Xenopus tropicalis: one gene and its partner. The protein of the gene in region 1 purifies or fractionates together with the protein of each later gene. This does not show direct contact. Links are inferred from orthologs where the notes say so. Each region holds a gene or a part of one and is shown on either strand. Other genes may lie near its edges. The genes, in order: hnf1a and pcbd2.

Region 1 (6,693 bases):
TTTATATTTATATATATATATATATATATATATATATATATATATACAGAGAAAAACAGAGCACACCCTAATAGTAATCAACTGCCCCGGGTGCTTGCAAAAAACATGTATAAAGCAAGACAGTGAGCCGCACACACAGGGACTTAGTTAGAAAACAAAAAATTTTTATTAATGAAAAAAATCCAACGTTTCGAGCACCGTGCTCTTCCTCAGGGAAAAACCCCTGAGGAAGAGCACAGTTGGTGCTCGAAACGTTGGATTTTTTTCATTAATAAAAATTTTTTGTTTTCTAACTAAGTCCCTGTGTGTGCGGCTCACTGTCTTGCTTTATATATATATATATATATATATATATATATATATATATATATATATATATATATATATATATATATATATATATATATATATATATATATATATATATATATAATGGTTCAGGTCTGATGCATTTATCTTATCATGAAGTAAGGAAATGGCAAATAAATTATGCATTTTTAACGCAGAACCTGCATTTGATGCATATAGTTGTATAAAGTTTATATGTAGGCACAGGTGTTTATACTGCCTATTTTAGGACACACAGAGCTACTTAGTAGGAGCTACTTGTCATGGCTACTAAATACCTTGCTATAGACAATACTGAAAATCGCCTCTGCTAAAACACACTTATAGACAATTATTAGTAAATGATTAGGATTGTCTGTTTCTGTAGCCACTAAAAGTAGCTGTTACTAGTAGCTCTGTATGTCTTCATGCTTAACTATATACCCTACCTTACCAGTGACAGTGCCATTGTCTTTTTTGGATATGGCACAATAAAGAAAATAATAGCAAAACTGCAGCAATGTAATTTATAGTTTGACAGAGAGGTTTTTTTCCCCTACAGAATAATAAATACCCGGGGGAGTCTTGTTTACTCAAAGCAAACCTCTAGGTGCCCATTTACTACTACTGTGCCTTAGCACTTATTGTAACAGAAGGTACACTGCCCTTGCTATCTTTTAAAAGTAGGGTTCACTGTATATTTTGCACAAGCTATTTCTTTTGCTCAAACTGATAAGCATGCAAATGGCATGAAAGAGCACATGATCATAACACCTATATCCACCTAAATTGTAAACGCAATTTGTGCTTGATTTACAAACAGGTGCAAACTTTCCCAATGGTACTTCTGGAAATAAAAAGATATCAAATTAATCTAATTTTCCTTTTGCCCACTGCTGGTAAATGAGGACCTGTGATTTAACTGCATTTTTTAAAGGCGACCTGTCACCCAGTCATAAACATGCACTTAAGACATCATTGTACTGCTCACATCCCCTACTCACTATAATGTAATTATGCAGGCTGTGTATGTGCATCAAGTCCATATTCCAGTGCATACAGCAGATTTTTGAATGATGCAAAGCTTGCGTTAATAAGTATCCACAAAATGGCTCCTGCCTGCTTGCTCTTTATTGTGAATTCTAAGACTGAAGGAAACAAGAATACAAGAGTAATAAAAGAGGGTTTTTAATTATTTCTAAGGGTTACAGGTCTCCTTTAAGTAGATGTTGTCCAAGTTGGCAGCTTATTAGTCTGTGTATGAGGCCTTCGGGAAGGCCTGCCTAACCGATATCTGACCAAAAGTTAGGAAGGTTTGCAAAGCCTGTCAGACAAGGACTGGAATGGCACATTGATGTAGCCAGGTCTCAGTGGGTCCACAGGATGATCATTGAACCCCCCTGATCAAGATTTGGCCCAGCATGATGTTTAGATCAGTGCAACATTCTGAGCAAGAATAAGAAACTATAATGGATCTAATGGACACACAAACCTTCATACAAAACACAGTCCCCAACCCCCACAGCAGGTGCTGATTCACTCTGTTGCCGATACCAGCTTATCTCAGTACAAAGTCCAACTCATAAACAAATAATGACTGCTTCATACAAACCCTGGGGGAGGGAACACCAAATGGACCAGTTGAAAATCAAGGGGTTCATGGCGAAAAGTGTATTGCTTTACACAAACATGTTATTAGAACGAGCAGGCAGTTTATGATTAAATGTGAATCAGCACTTGTTAACTTTGACTAGGCCTCCTTGTTAAACCAATGACACATTTGGTATATCCTAAAATTATCTGGTATCTTAAATAAAAAGACATTTGTTAATTAATAAAAGTGCATGAGAATTATTCAGTCTGAAATGTCTTATAAGAATTCACCCTAGTTGGAACAATGGTGCCCTACATTTTTTATGTTTTCTTAATCTGATGCCCCTCGTTTCCTCGCCTCATCCTTAGAGGTTATTTCTAAGGGCGGTTTCACCTCCCTTTTGTTCCGTGAACAATAAGTAACCCAGTTAGTTAGTTATCAACTCAGAGGAAACAAGAAGCTGGTTGATAATTTATAGCACCTCAACCAATTTAAATGAAAAGTCCATATGAAATGATTTTCATCCTAGGAGACCCAAAACAGACAGATGCCTTGCCTGGCTCATGGCTAGTTGTCAGACTGGATGGTGCTAGAGAACAATGGCTACAAAGCAAAGCATTAAAAGGAAAATGTAAACTTTGAACTATGCTGAATTTGAAAGAAGTCTGGAAAGAAAAGGAGAAAAATGGGCACATTAGAAGGTCATGTCTGAATATTTCTTCCGGGACAAGGCATGTCCTAATACAAAACCTCTGAAGAGAATACATTGCAATTACAGTTGTTTCCAAACCTCTAGGCTGCATATTGGGAGTGGAAAGTAACAAGACATGGAATTTATCATGGTTGATGGGCCTGCTGTACAGCACATTCTATAATTGCAGCGGATGGGTTAACCATTAGAAGTTAATCATCACAAAAGGTAGAGGCCATTTGGTTTATAAATGTTTAAATTATAGAGGATGTGGGTAATTAGTAACCAGTGCGGGCCCCCTGAGCCCAAGTGATCGGCAGAACCCACACTACCTGAAGACAGGGAACTGAACTTACAGCACCCTAAAGAGTGGAAGAACGGGATAACATTAAGAAATGGACAATACCAGAAGAGCAAGCAAAAAGGAACCTTAAAAAGCAAATAATGTTTACACTACTTAAGGATCAATACCCTGGATTTGGATTTTTTATCCAGCAAAACATAAATGCAGTAGATAAAAGAAGCCATGAAAATATCAATGGGCTTATTTCAAGATAAACAAAATTGCTAAATATTGTAAAAATGGACCAAACAATGCCTGAGGTAGAGAAGAAGAAATGTCTCTTTTACTGTCTTTCATCCCAGCTGGCAAGAGAATATTAGAGGGATTTGGTGGAGAAATTGATTGGTCTGTGTTAAACTTGTTTCACCAGGGATTCCTACCCAATTTTCCAACTGAAGATATAGGTATGCCCCTTTATGAACTGCAGTCATCCCAATGGGGCATTTAAGATTTCGACTTTTTTCATCCAATTTGGAGGGAATACATAAACTTCTATGGGAAATGAGCTTTGTTTAGGTGAGTGTTGGTACAGTGGGTGTAGATTTGGGAATATGGATAGAAAAAGGGAAGGTGGAGTGAAAAATAGTGTGAAAGATTACAAGACAGAGAACCAAGGATATCAAGTGTAGGACTAGGTGATATAGAGAAGGCATAAGAGGCACATAGGTCTTACTGCAGTAGACGTTCCACCACGGCCTTCTGATGAGCAGCCTCTTCAGGGCTCAGCCTCTCTAACTCTTTCATAATGGGTGGTGTGAAGTCCCCACCATCATCAGAACTTTCATCTTCTGATATCTGAGGATCCCCTAACCCATTAGGTAGTTGCACACAGTTCTCTCCCTCGTCCAGGTTTCTAATATCATCCAAAGGGACATTGGGATATGTGTAATCTTCACCATCAGCCAATGCTTTTTTCAGAGCCTCCTTTGTCACCCCAGACTCTAACAGAGCCCGAAGAAGCTCTCGCTGCAGGTAACTGAGCTGAGACGCCATCCTCGCTGTTGCCTTCTACTGCCTCACCATCCTGCGGCTCTAACACGGATCAGCGGGCGGGAGTCCATGCTCTACCCACCTTCTGTTTCCTCCTCCCCCCAAAAAACACACTGTACAGCCACAACCAGCAAGTGGTCACCCCCCGGACAGGCTTCTCTGAGACATAGATAAGGGACCCCTGTCACTCTCTGTTTACATCAGAGCAGAGTAAATCCTCCAAGGTTCATATTTATCCCTGTGCTTTGCAAGTTACTGAACTTTGGACCCCAACTCTGCACAAAGTGCACGAGTTAGAGAGGGGGGAGTGCAGAGGAATATGAGGAGGGGTAGAAGAGAGAAGGAAATTCCAAAAGTTTAAGAGAGAAATATTAGGAAATATGGTAAAAGTAAGAGAATGAGAAGGTGAAAGTGGCACAAACCACCAGGTAAAGGACAATGCAACAGAGACGAGAAAAAAAGCTGTGAGTGGCTGAAACCTGAAAGAACTTACATGGAGAATACACATACATAGTAACCTAGTAGTTGAAGTTGAAAAAACACACATTTATCAAATACAATAAATAAATGCATAGAGAAAAATATCGCAAGGGGAACTCGAAAGAAAGACACTGGGAGGAAGGCACCAAGGAGAGAAGGAAAGTGACTACTTTAATTTATTTAATAAAACCCTACCTGATGTTTTTAAATATTGGTCTATTTATGTTTTGTTTTGTTTTTTTTTAACCTAATGGTTTAATTAAAGGCATTATACAACTGTAATTCTAACATTAATGTGTGATTATCCACACACTAAAAGGGTTAAAATAATTTTAGTTAGGAATTTAATCTCTTCCCCAGTTAGATAGTTCTGTTAACAAGGGAAGTCATAGAGACAATAACAACGGTGTCTTATTGATTTACAGTATACTGGAGGTACATCGCTTTTCTGACCTTACAGGTATTCTGTTCATATATAATAAAAGCACATGTGGAATCCACATTTGTGGATTTAAAATATTTAAGTGTATTACTCGCCAGAGTGAAAAATACAATGTAGCAGAATGGTATTTCTCTCCTCCTGTACTCAGGATCGGACTGGGTCAGACCCGATCCCTGTTACCACTCTCCCGGCCACCGATGTCCTCACCTGACACGTTTCACTTACTCGCGTTCAGGAAAGGATGTCTGGCGGGTGGCAGGGGGTGCAGGGGACGCGGGGTACCTTGTGTGTGGGCCCTGCACCCCCCAGTCCGACACTGCTTGTACTGCATCTCCTCAATCTTACAAATGGTGGATTTTTAACTTAAAGATATACAGTAGAGAACTACTGCTACAAATCGTCAGCTGGCAATGACTTCTGGGTGCCCTGGTCAGTCAGCAAGCTACTGCAGGGGAAGAGGCATGTGGCATATTGTACATGTGCTGCTATGCACCACAACACCCAGGAATGAACTTGTCTCAAAAAAACACTTCCGTCATGGAAAACAACTAATCTTTTCACACCTTGCATAAGCACAGCCACTTTGTTTAAATGTAGCATGCTGTGCTTGCTGCTTGCTGCTACTGCTGGGTGTCCTGGCAGGGATAGTGTTAAGTAAATAAAAAGTCTAAGCACTTTATTGTGTAGTTGCGGCTTCAGCTGTCACTACCAAGATCTCTAGATGGCATCATCACAACAAGGGTCACTGTAAAATGAAAAACAAAATTGAAAATTATGAGAGCAGCCTGAGGCCCACCAGCTCTTGGGGGTAATAGGGACAAATGCCTGGATTACACCATAGGATAGCATAGGATATGTGTAACACTTGCAAGTGCAGTTGTGGTCCCCATATTTTGCCAGCAGTTAGTTGCATGTAAAACCACTTTTATTAAAGGTACTTGCATCAAATTGTGCTCCTTCCACTTCTGTATAATTGTGCTCAGAGCCACTCCTCAACACAATTCCTTTCTGCCTTCTGTTCCAACTGCTGCTGCTGCACCTATTGACACAGAGAAACCCTGAAGCTTCTGACCAGACATTAGTTTCAAGGCTCCTTTGCATACAGTGTTAAAAGGTGCAGCACACTTGCGCCTAAAGAATATGGCACAGACGTCACTCGCATGACAAAACTGGATTTCCGTACATTTGTGCCTGGTTTGTACGCAGTTGCACAGAGTTGAGACATAGATTTATTCAGATTTTTCCTGTTGTCAGCAGACCCGACCCTAGCTGGTGCTACCCCTCCCGACCACTCCTCCCCTGATGCGTCAAATTTATGCGTTTGGAGGAGGACGTCGGGTGGGGGGCCCTACGAGGTGGGTTAGGGGGGCCCCTGCGGGGGGGGTTAGGGGATGCGCCTGGCTGGGGGCACCTGCAGGGCCTCTGGAACAGGAGCCCCGGTGGGCCCTTCACCCCCCAGTCCAACCCTGGTTGTCAGCAATGGAACACAACAGAAAAAATAGTTTTCTCTTGATGCGTTTTCAGTTTTTAAATATCTGCTCACAATATAAACATAAAACAGCAATAACCCATCTTCTCCTAAAAACAACAGTCTATGTATAAGTCAGGGGGTGCAGATTGGTGCTATATCTTCGAAAGAAACTGGTGAGTGCAATCTGTACATGGGTATGTGCCTCATGCATCCTACAATTTTTTCTATTCTCTAGTCAGTATTAATAAGCATCTTTGTTTGCCCCATAAATCCAGTTTTACTTTATATTTTAATTTAACCCTTCAAGTGCTAGCAAAGTAGCTGAAGCTGATACCGTGATTTCCATAGGGTTACA
Region 2 (6,680 bases), on another chromosome or scaffold:
ATGATGCATGGTAGCCATGCACGGCATAATTGTTTGACAGGTTCAGTGTTCCTTATTTCAGTTAATGCAGCAAATAGTTTTTCCACTGTGTGCAAATTATTTTCTAAAGTTCAGCAGTGGCAACAAAGCATATTGATGCATCTATCATTTAAATAAACATTTTGCTATATAAAATATATGTTTTTAATAAACATTCTTGGCTAAAATAAACAGGAGAGGAATTGCTCCCCTTACGGCTGATACAAGCACATATTAGTGTTGGGCTCCAAGTTAGAAATCCCTTATACTGGAGATATGGAACTCTGATCTGTTGCAAGATTGGAGACAAGTCCTGTGGCTCCGCCATAGAATATTCAGGGATCTCTGGGGTTTCTCCAAGTCCACCAATAGTTTAATACATCTGAAAGCATAATGTAGGCATATGAACAGTTCAGAAAATGTCTTTCTGGAATCTTTTTCTATAAAAAAGTCTGAGCATTTTTGGGCCAAAAATGTTGGTAATGTTATTAGCCTTATGAACTGGGTGTTTATTTTGCAATAAGCTTTACAGGAAAGGTAGACATAAAATAAGTACAATATAGAGCTGATCAATAATGCAAAAGGATTTGCAGTCTTAAACCTGTTGTCATCTGTTAGCTTGCCATCTATGTCTTAGCAGCGATAAAGTGACATCTGAGTTGTTGCTTGGCATAGGGTTAGCGTCAGAATCAGTTACTACTTAGAAATACTGTCTTTACATTATAGCTTCACATACAATGACCGTTGCTGTTCATTGCTTTCTACTCTTCTATAGATGTTAACATTTCTCATAAAATGTTACAGTTACTGCCAAGAAATATTCTGTTTGCACCAGCTGGACAAACAGAAATAATATACATGAAAGAAAGTATTTACTTATGGTGTTATTTGCCCTTGAATTCTAATCCTTTTTTGCCCGTGTACTACTTAAAATATTCTTGTTAATACCATGAATGTACATTATTCTCTAATTTAGAGAATGCCTGGGACCCTTCAGTTGCTAAATACAATAAAGAAAAATGCCCCTATACTTCTAGACTGAAAACTGTGCAGTTTTTAGCACATTGTCTGGATCTCATCTCAGTCGCTGGAGTTTTAAATGTAACTTTTATTTTATTCCTGCCTATTTGGTCTGACACCTTATCTTGTCTGTAAATTATTTATTTGTAAATAAATAAATTTATAACTAATTGGAGTTTTTTTTTTTTTTTTATTGACCAGGGGTGGGCAAACATTTTGGCTCAGGGGTCACACTGACTTACAGACGGGCCGGGCCAGCATTACGCCAAGGGCTGCCATCAGAAATCACGGGGCCTCTCAGCTCCCCCCAGCATCCTGCAGCTCCCCACCCCAACATCCTCAGCTCACCCCCAGCATCCTTCGGCTCCCCCCCAGCAGCATCCTGCGGCTCCCTCAATCCTCCGGCTGCTTCTGACCCCGGCCGGGCCCGGATATGGCCCGCTGGCTGTAGTTTGCCCACCCCTAATATAAGTGTGATGGCCTTTGGGTGCCAGATTTTAATTGCGTTACTGTGATATTGTGAGTGCTGTTCTGAGACAGATTCTAAATGGTCTTCATCATTTATTATTTGCAGTTTTTGAATTTCTTAGCTTTTTGTTCAGCAGCTCCCCAGTTTGGAATATTGACAGCTATCTGGTTGCTAGGGTCCAACTTAACATAGCAACCAAGCAGTGGTTTAAATAGAAGCAGGCCTAAATAGAAAGATAAGTAATACAAAGTAATAATAAAATTGTAGATTCACGAAGAAATTGTTTTTTGGCTGCTTTAAAAAACTGGAAAAAATCTAAATAGGAAGGCAAATTAAAAAACTATGAAAAATAAAAAATGAAGACCAATTGCAAAGTTGCTAAGACTGGGCCATTCTATAATATACTAAAAGTTAACCTAAAGGTAAACCAACCCTTTACTTGCCTTACTATAAACATATTGCTAATACCCCATGTCCTTGTCACTTCTAAAAATGTATCTATTAATACTTTTATTACCAGGGTACATAAGGTCATTTTCTGTGGGCCCGACAATTAACTTGCATGAAACCATCAGTCGATACACTGAAGGTGTCTGTGAGAGGGAGGCACGCCAGAGGATTACAGTACCATATCCTATTTACCTACATGCCGGAGCTTCTCATTACAACCTCGTGTTTGTAGTTAACTCAGGTTTTCCTTATGATGTGTCATTGTTGGCATGGAGCTAAATGCATAAAAATTAAGTTTATAAAGAATTCTTAGGAAACAAATTGAGCTCCAGCTAATGGATTATTGTAGGTACAGCCTACATACAGGATATCCAAAGGAATCTAGCAAGCAAAGGTCTGGAACTACATTTCTGCTGCAACCAATGATTTAAAGGCAATTTCTGATATATACTGGTATGCTTCTTCCCTATACAAATGTTGTTCATAATAGCAAATACAAAATGATGTCAAACACAAAAGGTCCCATAATACACTGCAGTGATTAGATGTCTGGGCATTGCTTACTCTATATAATCAGATTTGAGTGATAAAAAGAAGTGAAAGACACTAAAAAATAAAAGAAACATTTTTGGCAAAATAACTGTAATTGGAGGAAAGCTGATGTTACTTCAATATTTAAAAAGTGATTACGATCTCAGCCTGGCTACCATAGGCCAGTAAGTCTGACATCTGTGGGGGGCAAGTTATTTGAATGCTTGTTAAGGGATCACATACAAGATTATGTTCTGGAGATTGGCATTTTGTACAGTAATCATTGGAGAAGTACTCAGCAGCACACTGTTACAAAAGAGAAAACATATGTCATCCAGTTGTAAGTCCCATTTGCCTTAAAATCTAATTGTCATCCTGGACATCACTTTGCACACCCTGCCTACCCATACTGGCCATTCCATAGCACTGGAGAACTACTCAGCAGCACAATTGTGACAATGCCTCCCCAGCTCTGATCTATTTTTCAAACCACAATGACACGACTGCGTGGCTACAGCTTCCCCCCACTGTTAATCAATGGGTATTATAACTACTTATGGGTATACCATAGAACTCAGGTAAGGAGCTGTAAGAGAGCTATGGTACAGCCTGGAGCTCCTCCCCAGCAGGAAGCAGGAAGAAGTGTAAGTTTATGCCGTGGGGAGGCTCATAGCAGGGCCCACATGTTTCTGTATGACAGCTCAGTGATTGCGGTATAGTTGCTTAGGCTGCTCAGAGCGGCACTGCTGTCAGTCATATTGCGGGGAGGTATAAAAGGCATGGGCAGCTTCCTGTTTATATCGAGGTTGGGAGGCAGTCGCGCATTAGTCGCAGCTACCTGCAGCAGAGCGCTTTCTAAGATGGTGAGTTATCAGAACAAATGTTTGCCTTGGTCTATACACTTAGGATATGGTGGGACCTGGATTATCATTTACGTTGCCTCTGCTTTCCCATCCCGTCTACTTACAACTCCCCCATTTTTTTTAGCGAAATGGTTTATGCCGCTTTTCCCTCACATAGCCTGTAACCCGTAACAACCAATCGTAGGTTTAGCTCTAAAGCATAAAGCGGTGCATGCTGCCTTCTGATTGGTTGTTAAGATTACTGTAAAGCAAATGTTGCCTCTGCTTGCTCTGAGTTTTAACTGTTTCAGTCCAGAAGACGCCAAACCCTCCACTTTTCCTTGGAAACGGACTCAATAATGATAGTTTGTGTATTATTTGCCATTTTTTCATACTGGTTTATAAATGGAGAGTGACTTCACAGAAAAGGGCTCCAATTTCCTTACAAAATAACATGTAATGTGCCTGTATAGGTTGCACTATGTGGGCTAAGCCTGGTTGCTAAGTTATATTGCTCCCAAGCAACCAGAAATTCCAAACTGGAAAGCTTCTGAACAAAAAGCTAAACAATTCAAAAACCTCAAATAATAAAAGACAAAGACGAAATGCAAATTGTCTCAGAATAGCTCTATCTACAATTTACTAAAAGGTAATTTGAAGGTGAACACGCTCTTTAAAGCTTACTTGACTTCACTGAGCTATACATTTTAAATAAAGCAATTCTAGAAGTTGATTAGCACTGCAAATTTAACATATAATACTTTGTTACAAAAAGTACATTGTTAAGGATTTTTTTTGGAGTATTGCATTCACTAAACTTACCCATTTTATGTTAAGGATATGATTATTTCTAAGGTCATGGCGCCATCTAGTGGTCAAAAGTAATTACAGGGACAAGCAGGATTTTAAAGAACCAGGGTTGATTTTGATAATGGATGTCTAGTCATTTATCCATTGCAAAGCACCGACAAATTAAAAGCAACATGGGGAACTTTAAAAATGACATTTATTTTGTCCTGGTTCAGTAACCTATAGCAATCAATAATATTTTTGCTTTTAAACAAATGACTGGTAAATGCTACTTGCTTATTGGTAGAAAATGTTACACTTTTATCATACAAGACCTACTATTCGGGTTATTTATAAACACTGGGCAGATTTGTATCAGGGCAGTAACCCATAGCAACCAATCAGATCTGTACTTCATTATTTTACTTGCAGCTGGCTAAAAAATAGCTAAACACTGGTTGCTTGCTATAGGTTAATGCCCAGGTGCCAATTTGCCCAGTGTTTATAAATGAGCCCCATGTGTTTATACCTAAAGTTGCAGTGGGGAATACAAAGTAGTTGTGCTCTATGAAGGAAAAAGGCAAAATCAGCCCAGAGACGTGGGCATTTACATTTGGGAAAACAGGGGAGCTATACTCGCAAATGTATCCCAAAATGTACCCTTGCGTGCCACAAATAATGACATTTTTTTATGACTGATATTTTTTAAAATTTAGATTTATTAACTCATTTCTTTTGTATTCCTTCCATTAACTTGAGGACTGAAAGGCATGGTGTCTAAACTGTTTTTAAATGTACTGAGAAAAGTTGCTCTGTGCTCGGTAGCGACTGAAGTTGCTGCTGCAATTAATGTAACAAATTACAACAGTTGACATGGAACTGACCTGGCTTAGTGAGCTGCTACAGGGAAACATGAGAAGCGGAAATCCAAATTCCTTCATTTAAACAATAAAAACAAAATTGTTTCTGTTGTACTTATGGAAAATGCAAATACAAAGTTTTGTAAGGATGAACTTACCCTTTAAGCACTCAGCACTCATTAGCATGCCACAAGTAAAACCAGTTACATCTAAAATTAAAAATATTTATATTTTTATTGTTTATCCAGCACCTGCACGCAAACTGTTTTATTCTGTTCTGCATTTGTATTGGCCGTTGGCCATAGGTACTGCTTCCCTGACTGAAATGATGGTTTGAAAATGTATTTACAGGTATGGGATCTTTTAATTGAAATCCCGTTATACAGAATAGTCCCCATTATAATTTACTAATTCACATTTTAAAAAACTATTTGCTTTTTCTCTGTAATAATAAAACAGTACCTGTACTTGATCCCAACTAAGATATAATTACCCCTTATTGGGGCAGAACAGCCCAATTGGGTTTATTTAATGGTTAAATGATTCCCTTTTCTCTGTAATAATAAAACAGTACCTGTACTTGATCCCAACTAAGATATAATTACCCCTTATTGGGGGCAGAACAGCCCTATTGGGTTTATTTCATGGTTAAATGATTCCCTTTTCTCTGTAATAATAAAACAGTTCCTGTACTTAATCCCAACTAAGATATAATTACCCCTTATTGGGGGCAGAACAGCCCTATTGGGTTTATTTAATGGTTACATGATTCCCTTTTCTCTGTAATAATAAAACAGTACCTGTACTTAATCCCAACTAAGATATAATTACCCCTTATTGGGGGCAGAACAGCCCTATTGGGTTTATTTCATGGTTAAATGATTCCCTTTTCTCTGTAATAATAAAACAGTACCTGTACTTGATCCCAACTAAGATATAATTAATTCTTATTGGTGGCAAAACAGCCCTATTGAGTTTATTTATATAGATTATTTTTTTAAGCAGACTTAAGGTATGGAGATCCAAATCCAAATATTCTTTGCAATACATCCCATACCTGTATTCATTTTGTATGTGGTTGCTTTATTTTCTTCAGTTATTTATCTTATTGTTCAAAAGCTTTACAGTTTGGAATTTCAGCAACTATCTGGTTGCTAAGACCTTGTTTACCTTGGCAACCAGGCAGTGGTTAGAATGTGAAACTGGAATATGGGGGAGGAACTGAATAGAAAGATAAGAAATAAAGTATTGCTCACAGAGTAATATTTATTTGGCTGCCGGGGTCATTGATCCCCATTTGAAAACTGGAAAGATGAAGAAGAGGAAGCATTTAAGCCTAAATCTCACCCTAGTTGCCCTTAGGGCTGGGTCCCAGTGGGCAACCTCACAGTTTGGGAAGCGCCGAACTAGATAGATCTGGAAAGCAAGGTTCCTCCATACTGGACGGGTTTATTGAAATAATAAAGTGGATACCACCTGGAGGGCAAGGCTTCTCCTTATTGTGTGGGTTGGACATTTCTTACCCCACCAATATGTCACTGGTTACTAACTCCCCTTTCTGATGATTCTGCAGACATCTGAGGCCTACTTCCTGACACCAGAAGAAAAAGCACATGGTCTCCAAGAGCTCCAGGCATTGGGATGGACTGAAGTCAGTGAGAAAAATGCCATCTACAAAGAATACAAATTCAAAACCTTTAA

Evidence for each region.
Region 2: the proteins of hnf1a (region 1) and pcbd2 purify together in Homo sapiens (affinity purification with mass spectrometry; 4 studies listed by BioGRID and IntAct, with this or other methods). This does not show direct contact. The link is inferred for Xenopus tropicalis from reciprocal best matches to the Homo sapiens genes HNF1A and PCBD2.

What each region holds. Positions count from the first base shown.
Region 1 is NC_030677.2:151,971,710-151,978,402, reverse strand, and holds the start of hnf1a (hepatocyte nuclear factor 1-alpha), read right to left. Parts: upstream 4,072-6,693; 5' UTR 3,949-4,071; coding exon 3,629-3,948; intron 1-3,628. UniProt on the Homo sapiens protein: Transcriptional activator that regulates the tissue specific expression of multiple genes, especially in pancreatic islet cells and in liver. Binds to the inverted palindrome 5'-GTTAATNATTAAC-3'.
Region 2 is NC_030679.2:26,132,009-26,138,688, reverse strand, and holds the start of pcbd2 (pterin-4-alpha-carbinolamine dehydratase 2), read left to right. Parts: upstream 1-2,982; coding exon 2,983-3,066; intron 3,067-3,121; exon of another isoform or gene 3,122-3,267; coding exon of another isoform or gene 3,268-3,351; intron 3,352-6,552; coding exon 6,553-6,680.